Linked DNA regions of Sus scrofa. The protein of the gene in region 1 purifies or fractionates together with the protein of each later gene. This does not show direct contact. Links are inferred from orthologs where the notes say so. Each region holds a gene or a part of one and is shown in the gene's direction. Other genes may lie near its edges.

Region 1 (7,351 bases):
AAGGGCAGAGGCCACGGTATCACCTACCACATGCCAGGCAGAGCAATAATTTAACACTGATAAGGTCATAGGGCTGGAACCAGGCACTATTCTAAGTATGTCCTGTGTAGAAGTCATTTAATTCTCACGTCAAACCTTGGACACAGGTTTTCTTATTCTCCCCAATTTATAAATGCAGAACAGGCACAGAGCGGTGAAGGAAGCTACTATGACCACACAGCAGAAAATGGTACTTGAATAGAGCAGTTCAGATCCAAAGCCTGTACCCTATACAATTTACCTCCTCAATATTTGTTGAAAGCATGCTCATTTAAATGTTTACTGAGTTGAATGAAGCAGAGAGTTGAGTGTAAACAAATTTGTAATTATAAAGTACCTCTAGAGTAAAGATGAACACATTTAGCTATGGAGAAGAAGTTGGTTATAGTTTGTTACCTCTTGTACTGGAAATTAGCGGTTTTTTGAAAAAAAATTCATTGTTCTTGCCAAATCCATAAGAGATAATCTGTGCAAAGGGGAACATTATTAATGATTCGAGCAGGTTGAAGTAATATTCAAGGACTTTGTAACTCTTACGAAAACGTGGGAGTTAGAGAAATATACTTGTGTATATTTTTTGCTGATACCTTAAGGGATATTTATGTAGCTGCATTAATCGATGTAAAAAGAGCAGTGAACATCAGGCCTTGTTTCTCTGTTCCAAAAACAGATGTCAGTTACATTAAAAACTGTTGTCTTAATCACTTTCAGGCATCATTTTATTGGGGCTGGGGGACAGCAAAAATGTACAGAAAATTGGCAGCTCCTCCTGCCCACCAGTCTAGCTCTGTTAAGTGACATGGGATGCTTTCGCCTTTGTTTTCATTTCCATATTTAACAACAAAAGTAACACTTGATGTTATAAGGTTGTTCTGAGTAGCTTGTGGATGTTTGTTATGTTCTTTGAACTGTTAGAAGAAAGGTATTAATAAACACTAAAGCAAAAATCACTTATATAGGTCACAATTTGGGAATTCCCTTTGTGGCTCAGTGGTAATGAACCCGACTATTGCTCATGAGGACACAGGTTCAATCCCTGGCTCTGTTAACAGGTTAAGGATCTGACATTGCCATAAGCTATGGTGTAGTTCAAAGATGTAGCTCAGATCTGGTGTTGCCATGGCTGTGATATAGACCCACAGCTGCAGTTCCAATTTGACCCCTCGCCTGGGAACTTCCATAGGCCGAGGGTGTTGCCTTAAAAAAAAAAATAGGGCACTATTTAAGGATGGGTAGGAGATTCTGGAGGACTCTGAGTCATTATTAATGCTGTGCTCTAAAACAGTAATGGAATTATTCCAAAGTAGTTTTGTATATTCTTAGACTACCCTATATGTAGATTCCTTAGTCTTTAGACTCTACGTAGATGACTTTTTAAGCCATACAGCAAAAAGAAAAGTTCACTCCAAAGGTGATTACTGCAGCAGCCAGAGGTTTCTTAATGACAGAGATGTACAAACTGGAATACATCCAATTTAGGTTTCGTCCTGAATTGATCATGATCACAGCCATTGTCCCACAGGGAGAGCTTGGTCAAACCTGCAGCATGCTGGGCCTGCTAACTGGGCTTCCCAAATGCTTGCTGGGAAGAGAAGTGTCCATCTGGCTGTAGAGGAGCCAGTCCAGCCAGGCTAACTTTCCCACAGATAAGAGTTCTTAGGCAAGAAAAAAAAACAATCTGGATACACCTCGAAACTAAACATATGAGGGACAATATCTTGTGGAGCTACTGTCAATTTCAATGTCTCTTTTTGTTGTTTGTTTTTTTAACCTTAAGCCCTCCTTTGATAAACGGGTAATTTTTGTATTCTTTATAATTGAAATTTCAAAGTAACTTTGTGGATAAAAGGTAACCAAAGGAGATGTAAATTTACACATGATTTTTGAATATTTCAGTGCTTCTATCCTCCAAAGTTTCGGAGATGCATTACCCTCCTGTAACAGAGGCTAGTGTGATGCTAGGTTAGCTGTTCTGCAAAGCTCTTCCTAGAGGGGCGCTGATACCTGGACCGCAGTGAAAACATTAACACTGTGCCTAGCCTAGGCCATCGTCCCATTTGCCTCATTTGCTTTCTAGACAGACTGGGCTGCTCCTTCATGGCAGCATCAATTTGTCCTTTGTTCTGTGGTGCTTCCTAGGGATTTAAATTCGCAGTAGCATAACGATTTACTTATGGCACATTTCATGTTCCTGCCCATGATTACGCTGGCAATCGGTTAAAGATGGGTCAGCAACTTGGCTGTGGGTTTTTTCCCCCTTTGGTTCGGTTTACCAGTCTTCCGTAATGATGCAGACAGAATTCGTTTCCAACCTGTGAACGTGACCACTGTTTTGGTTTGGGCTTATCATTACCAGTCAAAACTGAAGAACAGAACTACAGCAACGAACGCTGCAGATTTTGACTTTTATTTCCAGTTTGATACGTGTGCCTCGTCAGATCCACAACGACGCGTCTGCTTTTTAAAGGAGGTGTGTTTCTTCCTCGGCTTTCGCATCACTGGAGAGAATTGAGGAGGCAGGAGAGTTCGGACTGGAAAACGACTGGGAATTCTGGCTACCGAGGAAGGGATGAAGAGAATTAGCAAAATGATAGATCCCCACATGTTTTTCATAAGGCATAGTTTATATTTCTAACCAGGTGAACCTTGGGTCGAGCTCCAAAAGTTCTTACTTCTCTTTTTTTAGCGCAGATGGAGACGCTCTCCGAGAACCAAAGTGAGTCTTAGCGCACCCCATCCCCTTTGCCTTTAAAGGACCCCTCTCCTTCCCGCCACCCACAGCAGCTACTACAATTCCCGGCAAGCACTGTACAGCGCCGCAGGGGGACCAGGCCGCGCGGAGACTTGCCCCGCGCGGAGCGTGCTGGGAGTTGTAGTCAACGAGCCTTGCTGCGCCTTCTGCTGTTAGGCATTCCAACTTGGTAGGTAGTGATGCACTGCAGTAGCAGGTTCCTCGCTGTCGTAATCGCAGTTAAACGTGACCGAGGATTGCGCTCTGCTGCCCTGCGGTGCGCGCCGCATCGGTGCCCTGGAGCCGAGCTCCGCCCAGGTCCACACCCGCTCCCTTGACAGCCGGGCCGGGCGTCCAGCTTGGCCCGGCCAGTGGCGCGCAAGCGCAGCAGTCCGCGGCGCGCCAAGCCGGCGTGGAGGGCAGGCCCTGCGCGAGACGTTCCCGGCCGCAGGGGCGCGCACGTAAGCACGCAGGAGCGTCACGTGGGGCGCCGAGGATCGCAGTGCGCGCGGCCGCGGCGGCTGGTGTGGGGTTGAGTCAGTTGTGAGACCCGGAGCTGCGGACCGGCGGGCGGCCCTCCGAGCCGGCGACACAGCGGTGGGCGTCGGGTTCGGGAGCCGAGCGCTGGCCCCGCGTCGACCCGGGCCGAGCCGCGCCGCCGCCCCCCGCCCGCAGCCACCGACCGGCCGCCGCGGGCGCGCCCCCGCTCTCCGCTGTCTCTCCGATGGCGTCCGCCTCCGGGGCCATGGCGAAGCACGAGCAGATCCTGGTCCTCGACCCGCCCACAGACCTCAAATTCAAAGGTGGGCTGGCGGGCAGGCGGGCGGGCAGGGTGGCGGCCGCGCCCGGGGCCCCTTCCCCCTCCCCCGCCGCCACGGCCCCTCCCGCGCGGGTGCGCGCGCCCCCGCCCCCCGCCCGGCGAGGCCGCCGCCATCTTGCGGCCCGCGGGCGCCTCGGTGCGGCGGTGGCGCTGGGCCCGGCCGAGCTGGGTCGGGCGGGGCGGGGCGGGGCGCGGCGGGGCGGGGCGGGGCGCGGGCGGGCTGGAGGGGGCGGCTCTGAGCGGTTCCCCCGGGAAGCGAACCCCGCCTGCGGGACAGTGTATCTGGGACTTGAGTTCCCGCACCGAGGACTAGCGCAGGGATCATGCAGGTGTGGCCGTTCCAGGGCTTGAAAGAGCAGCCTTACTGCCCTGCAGGGTTGCGTCCTGGAGAACAGCCATTAGGTGGTTTTCCTTGGGAGACGTTTGGGGTAGTCAGGAATTCTAAAGTGTTGCGTTCTGGGGTTTTGACAGCCGTGTTGTGTAACTGCCTTATTTTGCAAGCTCTTCAGTGTCTTCAAATTTCTTTGAATGGAAATGTCAGGGAGCTGCTTGTTAGGTAAGGAATTGATCTTAAGACAACCCCACGAAGTATTTTGAGAGGAATAAAGTACATTTTATTGTGGCAAGTTTGTGTGTGCAGCCTGATTTTACATGGTTTTCGCTGATAAAGAAAACACACCTTTGGGGAATCATGAAATGACCCAACTCAAATAACTGTTAACTTAGGATGGAGGAGTTTAGTGTGTGGTATGTGTTCTTTCGAGAATTTAAGTATTTTGCTTTGATTTTTTGGCAGGCGGAGTTTACAGAGGAAGTTTCTTCTCCTGGATAACCTGTGTGTATTGCCGCTAGGAGCTTAGACGCCTTTAACATGAGTTTTAGTTCAGGAAATATTCCTAGAGTTTGACACTTTCACAGTTGTAATGTTTTCATAGTAAGAGACTATTAGTAACAGAGAAGTAAGTTAAAAAAACAATCGTAGACTCTACACAGTGACGTAAAATATATTTAACCTAGTTAAGATATTGAAGAATTATTGGCTATGATATAGAACAGGTTGTTCTTGTGTTATGGATGAAAGTAATTCACAAGGCCTTTTAAAGTTTGGACATCAATTGACTTTTTAAAAAAGTTTTTCATTGAGGAATTTATAGGGACACGTTGTTTAGTAAACACTATTAAAAGCTTGGTGACATGTCTATGTTTAAGATACTCAACAAGGAGTAATTTATTCCAGAGGTATCAGCTAAGCAAGGTGGAGAAAAGATCCATAGTTTGTAGTTTGATGGGGAAAACGCACAGTCAACAACAGTAAAATGTGTTATGTTTTATCTTAGAAGGAGACAGGAAGGCGTATAGATGCTGTAATAGATGCAGAGCAAGCATGAGGAAAGAAGTCCCTTCCTCCTCCTCCCCTGCCCTTGCTTAGGAAGCTTGTTTTCAAATGGGGAAGAGGAGGGGGAGGGCTGGGGAAGGGAATGATTTGCTCTTCCAGGGATGTGAGAGAAGGTTGACTTATACTTAAATACCTAGTGGTTTGCTGTGTGCAGTTTAAGGTGGGTAATGGGGAGGCCTGGGAAAGAGGAGGGGTAGGATGAATTAGGAAGTGACATTTGGTGTCATTTGATTGCTTCTTAAAAGTTGTCTTAGTCAAAGGTAAATAATTTGCTTTGACTTTCTAATGAGCAGTTCAACATTAAGTGAGGAGACTCATTTAAAACTTACAGTGTCTTCTTTAAGAGAGAAAAAGCCTTTAATTTTGCCCTAAGTCACCTGTAATTTTTAGTTTAAGCAAAAGTCAAAGGATAGTTTTTCAGAATGTCACCTTCTGGTAGGTTTATTTGAACTATTTTGACTACATTTGATTAAGGTGATTTCTCCAAGAATGAGTGATTTAATCCTTCTGTGATTGGGTGGTGAATTTTTCTGTTCCATGCAGTTCATGTTCAGTTATCTTGATATGAATTATCACCACTTTGCCCAATTGTGGAGAAGCTGATACCAACTTAATACGTTTTCTATATACCACAATATTTTATTTGGAAGTTTATTGTTTTATACAGTTGTTTATGAAAGTACTTTAATAATAATGTAAAGAATTCTAAAGTAGTTCATTTATTGAATTAGTAAAGAAAAAGAGGTAAATATTTTCAAATTCTGTTTTTTGGTCCTGGCAGTAATTTGACCTAGAATTCAGATTTGAAATTTGGTACTTACATGTGAGAGACTTTTCCTTTCTTTCTTGCTTTTTTTTTTTTTTTTGATCATAAAATTTCTTCCTTTGTATTATACAACTTTTTTTTTTTCAGCCTTTTATTAGTTTTGGAGGAAAGTTTGGAGAAGAAGGTTTAGAAAATAAGTTGTGGATATTTTCTTCCACCTCATGATTAGAGAAAGAGGGAAACAGACCCAAACCATTGCATTAAAGGTGGCCCATTAACAATAACAAATCAGTAAGGAGAAGTAAGCTCTCTGAGGGACAAGGGACACGTGGTGTGTCAGCCAAAGCACCTTCGAATAGCAACACGGTGCTCGAAAGTGGCCCAAGTGAGGGTATAGACTGCTCCTCCTCTTGGTGGTATTTGGCATGTGTTGAGGTATTTTCAGGTAATGCCTATTAGACAGTGGCCCCATTAGACCTCTGAGGTGACCCCCTCCCCCCAGGACATAGAAGTCATCTTACTGTTTCATTCCTTCAGTTTTTAAGGAGCTTTCAATTGCCCACTGGATGACAGTCTATTTTAGTGTAGCTCGTGAGCACTTCTGTCATGTGCTGTCTCCTCTTGTAACACCTTTCATCTGCTCACATCCACACTTTCTTTTGAGAAGGAAAAACCCATCTCTTCTCCAGGCTTGATAGCTCTTTTTTGCTGGTTAAGGTAAAAATCTTTCATGACTCAGACCCTGCTCCATCAGGTGTTTTTTCTGTCATGTCTTCAACCTCTGGCTTCTTCTTTAAATGTAAAAACACACATACTCTTTCATTTTTTTTTTTTTTTTTTTGTCTTTTTGCTATTTCTTTGGGCCGCTCCCGCGGCATATGGAGGTTCCCAGGCTAGGGGTCAAATCGGAGCTGTAGCCAGCTCGGGATCCGAGCCGCATCTGCAACCTACACCACAGCTCACAGCAACGCCGAATCGTCAACCCACTGAGCAAGGGCAGGGACCGAACCCGCAACCTCATGGTTCCTAGTTGGATTCATTAACCACTGCGCCACGACGGGAACTCCCTCTTTCATTTTTAAAACAAATCAGCAAACACCACACTTCATGGACTCCCAGCTCCTCCCTGCACGTCCCTTCCTTTGCATCCAGACTTCTTGGAAAAGGAGTTGAGTTCCTTGTGTCCGGCGCCTCTTCTCTGTTCCCGAGATGGCTGTCTGTCCTCACTACCTACTGATTGCACTGTGTTCTTTGCCAGTCTCTGTCTCTCTTGACCCTCTTTGGCACTTGGCATTATTGAGATAGTTACTCTTTAAAAACTTGGTTCCTTTGACTTCTGTAACACAGTTTTCTAATTTTCTTCTTGCTCTCTTCATCATCTCCTTTGTCACCTCCTTTTTCTTAAATACTAATGTTTCTGAGATTCTGATTTGGTTTCAGTTTTGTCTCACTCTGAACTTTCCTTGTTCACTCTCCTTGTTTTGAGGCCTTTTCTTTCTCCTCGTTCTCTCTTTGCACACATTGGTACACACCCAAGTCTGTGTTTAAATCAGACTTAAAATCAGCTTTAGATCACATACTAATTAGTTCTTGCCTCTC
Region 2 (7,236 bases), on another chromosome or scaffold:
ACTGCAAGTGGAAAGGCCTTTGAGAATATTACTGATTGTTGCAGATCCAATCTATTTGCAGCGCTGTAGCCACTCCCACCCCCATACAGTTTATTTAGATCAATTTACTTCTCTCTACCCACACTGTCATCACCCTAGTCTAAGCCATTGTCACTTCTTCATGTCCTATAATAGTCTCCTGACTAGTCTCTCTGCTTCCTCTTTTTTCTCCCACTAAAATCAATTCTTTCTGTGGCAGCTAGAGACTTTTTTTTTTTTGCTTTTTAGGGCTGCACCCATGGCATACAGAGGCTCCCAGGCTAGGGGTTGAATCAAAGCTACAGCCGCCGGCCTACACCAGAGCCACAGCAACGCCAGATCTGAGCCCCATCTGCGACCTACACCACAGCTCACAGCAACACTGGATCCTTAACCCACTGAGCAAGGCTAGGGATCGAACCCTCAACCTCATGGTTCCTATTTGGATTCATTTCTGCTGCGCCACGATGGGAACTCCTAGAGGCTTTTTTAAAAATTACCTTTATTTTTATAAAATTCACTTACCATGAATTCATCCATTTGAAGCATACAGTTAAGTAGGTCTTAGTATATTTACAAGATTGTGCAACTATCACCACCAAAATAATTTTGTTTTATTTAAATTTTTTTTTTTTGGTTGTGCCCATGGCATGTTCCTGGGCCAGGGATCAAACCCGTGCCATAGCAGTGCCTTGAGCTGCTACAGTGACAACACTGGGTTCTTAACCTTGATGAGCCACAGAGGAACTCCATCACTAATCTAACTTTAAAACATTTTCATGACCCCTCAAAAAACCTCATAGCCATTAGCAGTCACTTTCCATGCCTCCTTCCTCCCAGCACCTGGCAACCACTAATCTGCTTTCCGCCTCTATAGGTTTGCCTATCTTGGACATTTTTTATAAACGGAATCATACAATATGTGGCTTTTGGTGTCTTGATTCTTGTGCTTAGCATAATGCTTTTGAAATCTATCTTTGTTGTAGCATATATTAGCACTTCATTCCTTCTATAGCCAAATAATATTCCATTGTATGGATATACCACCTTTCAGATTTCTACCTGTGGTATATGAAGGTTTCAATTTCTCCACATCCCAATAACCAATGCTGGTTAGTCTCTATCCTTTTTCTTTATTTTTTTTTTTGGCTCGCCCACAGCATGCTGAAATTCCTGGGCCAGTGATTGAACCTGCACCGCAGTTGGGACAATGCCAGATCCTTAACCTGCTGCACCACAAGAGAATTTCCTCCCACGTCTCTCTTGTCCCCAAATAAGTAAAGCTAGCTTTTTCCTTAGCTTCCTCGCCTTTCTTTAATCTCTCACTTTAAATATCATCTCCTCGGAGTTCCCGTCGTGGCTCAGTGGTTAACAAATCCGACTAGGAACCATGAGGTTGCAGGTTCGATCCCTGGCTTTGCTTAGTGGGTTAAGGATATGGCCTTGCCATGAGCTGTGGTGTAGGTCGCAGAGGCGGCTGGGATCTGGCGTTGCTGTGGCTGTGGCAAAGGCCGGCGGCTACAGCTCTGTTTAGACCCTTAGCCTGGGAACCTCCATATGCCGAGGGAGTGGCCCTAGAAAGACAAATAAATAAATAAATATCATCTCCTCATAGATAACTTTCCTCAACTGTTTTTTTTTGTTTGTTTTTTTTGGTTTTTTTTTTTGCTTTTAAGGGCCACACCCACAGCATAAGAAGGTTCCCAGGCTAGGGGTCGAATCAGAGCTTACAGCTGCCAGCCTACACCACAGCCACAGCAATTCAGGATATGAGCCCATCTTGGACCTACACCACAGCTCAAGGCAAGGAAGGATCCTGAGGCGAGGGATCGAACCCTCAACCTCATGGTTCCTAGTTGAATTCATTTCCACTGCGCCATGTCAGGTAACTCCTCTCAACTGTTTTCTCTAAGGTAAGTTCTCCACTCCATCTCACTTATTTTCTTTTTCTTTTTTTACTCAGTGAATTTTATTACATTTATAGGCATACAATGATCGTCACAACCAAATTTTATAGCATTTCCATATCTCACTTTTTTTTTTTTTTTTTTTTTTTTTTGGTCTTTTTGCCATTTCTTGGGCGCTCCCGCGGCATATGGAGGTTCCCAGGCCAGGGGTCTAATCGGAGCTGTAGCCGCCGGCCTACACCACAGCAACTCGGGATCCGAGCCGCGTCTGCGACCCACACCACAGCTCACGGCAACACCAGATCCTTAACCCACTGAGAGATGCCAGGGATGGAACTGCATCCTCACTAAAATTATGTCAGATTCTTAACCCACTGAGCCACAACAGGAACTCCCAACAGTTGCTTTTTTATTTATAACACTGATTTGCCTTATGCCAATATCACAGGTTTTTTTTTTTGTAAAATTATTAAAATGAATAGATGGTTTTTGGTTTTGTAATTTTATTTATTTATTTAATCTTTTTAGGGCCACACCTGCAGCACATGGCAGTTTCCAGTCTAGGGGTTGAATTGGAGCTGCAGTTGGGGGCCTACACCACAACCACACTGGATCTGAGCTGCCTCTGCGACCTACACCACAGCTCGCAGCAACACCAGGTCCCCAACCAACTGATGGAAGCCAGGGATCAAACCCATGTCCTCGAGGATACCACCCGGGTTTGTTACCGCTGCGCCAGGAGGGGAACTCCCTGTTTTTGTAATTTCTTATAGAAATGACATTTTTCTAAGTTTTCTCCCTAAAATGGCTGGAATGGGCCCTGGAACAGAAGGCCTGCACCGGGTTAGGAAGACCGGAAGCCACCCTCCACTAGGGCGCTAAGTCCTTTACTTCTCCCTCTTCGTCAGTCCCCCTGCCTCCGCCCTCTGCCACCCTCCCCGCCCTTCCTTTGGAGTCCACCGCCCAGGCCCCGCTATCCCCGAGGCTCCGCCCCCTTCAGGGCTGCGCGCCCTGCTCCAAGATGGCGCCCAGGGCTTCCGCTCTGAGGGAAGTGAGCTCATGGTACTCCGGAAGGGAAGGCGGGGAGAGAGCAGGCGGGTGGGTGACCTACCGTGGGACTGTGGGTGGGGCGGCGGCCGCCGTTGTGGCTCTCACATTTGGATTGGGGAGAGGGTGAGGGACTAGTCCGCCCCTGAGAACCGAGTCGAGGGCCCGAGGCCGAGCGTGCTGGAGGAAGTCGCCCCGAGCGGCTCGCCTTTGCCGGAGGCAGGGTAGCCCTGGGAGCCGGCGTCCCGCCCCCGGCGGCCTCCCTCCCCAACCCTCCTCCCCGGCTGCGCGCGGGCTGCTCCCGCTCAGTCTTGGGGGCTGCGGCGGGAACCGCCGAGAGGGGTGGACGGGGCCCTTCCCGCTGAGGACCGGCTGGAGAAGAAGAGGGAGCGCGGCGGGTCAAGTCTGTCAGCCCAGAGGTCAGGCCGCGAGTCCCGGTCCGTGGCCCGTCCTCCTCCCAGCCCTCTTGGCTGGAGTCCGCGACCTCCCCACGCTCCTTCTGCTTCTCCTTTGAGCATGCCACCAAGTCCTCGGGCAGGGTGATTTTTTTTTCTTCCTTGTTTTTGCCCGAAAGGAGACATCTATTTAAAGGACATCTATTCTCATCGCTACTCCTCTCCTCTTAAAAGTTTTCCTTCACGAGGAATGCTTGTATTCGTTCCCTGGATTATTTGATGGTTCCTACTCCAGCCACCGTCTCATTTGGCAATTGGGATCACCTTCAGATCAAATCTTAAATCTCACCACTTACAAAACTACCATACAGAGTTGTTCTCTCCGCCCGAGAGGGGCAAATGGACTTTGAAGTTAAGATGCAGGGAGGTGAACCACTGTCAACAATGAAAGTCTCAGAGAGCGAAGGAAGGCTGGAGGGCCTGGCCACCGCGGTGACCCCCAACAAGAACAGCAGCAACAGCAGCTGTGGGGGTGGAATCAGCAGCAGCAGCAGCGGCAGCAGCAGAGGTGGCAGTGCCAAAGGCTGGCAGTACAGGTATGGCCCTTTCTCCAAGGTGAGGGTGGGGGTGTGTTGGACCCCGAGTTCCTGCAGTTGTTGAAGGGTAAAGCTTATCCACTGACTTCCGCAGGTAACAGATACATCTCGTTTGGATCTGGGGTCTCATCTTTCATTAGCAAGATTTAATTCATTTGTCCATTCAACAGGTATCTATTGAAGGCCCTTTGGAGAACACAGAAATGTTTCTCTGGACTTTCTCTACAGCTTTGGAGTTAATTTTGACTCTGATTTGATGCTGTACTCCTCTTTTTTCCTATATTGTAATTTGATTTGGGGTTTTTTTTGTTTTTTTGTTTTTTTTGCTTTTTAGGGCCGCACTTGCGGCATATGAAGGCTCCCAGGCTAGGGGTCTAATCGGAGCTGTAGCCACTGGCCTATGCTAGAGCCACAGCAACGAGGGAAGTGAGCCGCGTCTGCAACCTACACCACAGCTCAAGGCAATGCTGGATCCTTAACCCACTGAGCAAGGGCAGGGATCGAACCAGCAACCTCATGGTTCCTAGTCAGATTCGTTAACCACTGAGCCACGACGGGAACTCCTAGAATTTTTTTTTTTAATTGAGAAATATATGAGGTATTAGGTTCAGGTGTACAACATAATGATTTGATATTTTGTATGTATTGTGAAATGGTCACCTTAATACATCTAGTTACCATTATCACCACACATAGTTACAATTTTGGGGGGATGAGAACTTTTAAGATCTAATCTCTTATCAACGTTCAAATAGTAATAATGCTGTATAATAACAGTATTATCAGCTATAGTTGCCATACTGTACGTTTCCAGGACTTGTTTATTTTATACCTGGAAGTTTGTACTTTTTGATCACTTTCACTCATTTCAGTCATCCTTCCCTATGGCTACCCCCATGTAATTCTCTGTATTAATGAGTTTTGTTTTGTTTTTTAGATTCCACATATAAGTGAGATCATACAGTATTTTTTTTCATTTTATGAAGTTTTATTAAAGTATAGTTGATTTACGATGCTGTGATAATTTCTGCTGTACAAAAAAATTATTCAGTTATACATATACACACATCCATTCTTTTTCAAGATCATGCAGTATTTGTCTTTTCTCTGTCTGACTGATGTCACTTAGCATAATGCCCTCAGGGTCTCTCCATGTGTTGCAAATGGCAAAATTTCCTCATTTTTTATGGCTGAATAATATTCCATTTTTTATGTATACCACATACCACATTTTATTTATCCATTCATCATTGTCCATTTGATGGACACTTAGGTTCCATGTTTTGACTATTGTAAATAATATTGCAGTGAACATCATAAATAATATTTCAGTGAATGTTTGAGTTATTGGTTTCCTTTTCTTCAGAAAATACTCAGAAGTAGAATTGCTGGATTATTCAGACTCTTAAGAATGAATGAAATTGAATATGCCATGGTATTGGAAGTACAGGAATAAATTAAATTTTGGTTAACTGACTGCCTGTGTGCTGTTTTGTAGTTGTGAAATTTGAAAGGGATTAAAGTCAAGATTCTGTAAAGGCTGTATACATTTATCATGAATAATATCCATATATGTGAAATATGCTTGACGTATTAACGTATAGAAACAATGTAGAAGAATATAACTTTTTATTGGTAAATTATTATAGGTAAGCGATTAAAATATATTTAGTTACTGAGAAACGCCTGCTCACTTTTGCAATACATGATGTGTTTTTGTGGTTTAAGTCTAACTATATAAAATTGTCAGTAATTTGGCAGGGTTATTTTAATGTGACTTAAGGAAACAAGATAAAGTAATATTTCATGTAGTCAGAGATCAGTCTTCTGACATCTTTAGTTCTTTGAATTAAAGAATTAACCCAGTCTTTATTGAATTGAAAAGTGAAACAGTTTTCTTAATACTGGGGAGAGTTGTCATAAAGCCATACCCTTTGCTCCTGTACTTTGATTCAGGACCATATTATCCCTTATTAAGAGTATTGCTTAATGGTTATGTAATTTTCAAACTAGAATCTGTTGGGAGCATAAATAAAAAAGGTATCAGGGAAGTGTAACAGGAAATGGCAACTGACAACATAGGACAATCAAATATGTGAAAAATTAACATGCAGACTCAGCCATATTACTTCCTCGAATAGTAATCATAGTTGCAATAACCTTAAGTCATCCAGGAAAGCAGTCTGTTTTGGAGAATAGTGGTGAACAGTTTCAAGGAAAATAGCTCAAATTAAAAAAAAAAGAAAGATGCTTAAGGATCTGGAAAATGCAGTTATATGGAACTCTTCCCCAAAGATGCAGATGTATAATGCATTATTTTTTTAAATTACTCAATAAATTTTATTACATTTATAGGTGTACAGCAATCATCACAACCAAATTTTACAGCATTTCCATCCCAAACCCTCAGTGCATCCCCCAACCCCCCAACCTGTCTCATTTGGAAACCGTAAGTTTTTCAAAGTCTTTGCGTCAGTATGCATAATGCATTATTGCGTTTACGTACTGACACATATTTTTACTTAAATGAGGAGTCTTCAAGGCTAATCATTCATCCCACCTCTCGGTCGAATTTATTCCTTTGTCCTCTAGGACATTGATCAAATAATTTTTTTCCATTGTCCTGTGTTGCCCCTCTTACCTGGCTTCTTCCTCTGAGGCCCATAGTTTCTATAGACTTTAAAATTAACAGGGAGTTCCTGTTGTGGCTCAGTGGTTAATGAATCTGACTGGCATCCATGAGGACACAGGTTCAGGTTCGATCCCTGGCCTTACTCAGTGGATTAAGGATCCAGCGTTGCCGTAAGCTGTGGTGTAGGTCCCAGACGCAGCTTGGATCTGGCATTGCTGTAGCATAGGCCGGCAGCTGTAGCTGCAATTCGACCCCTAGCCTGGGAACCTCCATATGCTGCGAATGAAGCCCTGAAAAAGCAAACAAACAAACAAACAAGAGTTCACATTGTGGCTCAGTGGGTTAAGAACCCTACTCATACGATACCATGAGGATGCAGTTTCCATTCCTGTGCAGGCTGAGGCGTAGGTCACAGATGCAGCTTGGATCTGGTGTTGCTATGGCTCTGATTTGACCCCTAGCCTGGGAACTTCAGGATGCCACAGATGTGGCCCTAAAAAGAGGGGAAAAAAAAACAAACAAAACCAACAACAACAACAATAAAAACCAACCTAAATCCTTTTTTTTTTTTTTTTTTTTTTAAGGGCTTGCACCTGTGGCATATGGCAGTTCCCAGGCTAGGAACTAAATTGGAGCTGCAG

The links. Proteins that work in one complex are often made in the same cells at the same time.
Region 2: the proteins of VAPA (region 1) and OSBPL11 purify together in Homo sapiens (co-immunoprecipitation; 4 studies listed by BioGRID and IntAct, counting the BioPlex papers as one, with this or other methods). This does not show direct contact. The link is inferred for Sus scrofa from reciprocal best matches to the Homo sapiens genes VAPA and OSBPL11.

Annotation. Positions count from the first base shown.
Region 1 is NC_010448.4:98,250,175-98,257,525, reverse strand, and holds the start of VAPA (vesicle-associated membrane protein-associated protein A), read left to right. Parts: upstream 1-3,253; 5' UTR 3,254-3,494; coding exon 3,495-3,573; intron 3,574-7,351. UniProt on the Homo sapiens protein: Endoplasmic reticulum (ER)-anchored protein that mediates the formation of contact sites between the ER and endosomes via interaction with FFAT motif-containing proteins such as STARD3 or WDR44.
Region 2 is NC_010455.5:134,715,428-134,722,663, forward strand, and holds the start of OSBPL11 (oxysterol-binding protein-related protein 11), read left to right. Parts: upstream 1-2,923; 5' UTR 2,924-3,766; coding exon 3,767-3,963; intron 3,964-7,236. UniProt on the Homo sapiens protein: Plays a role in regulating ADIPOQ and FABP4 levels in differentiating adipocytes and is also involved in regulation of adipocyte triglyceride storage. Weakly binds 25-hydroxycholesterol. Interacts with OSBPL9 to function as lipid transfer proteins.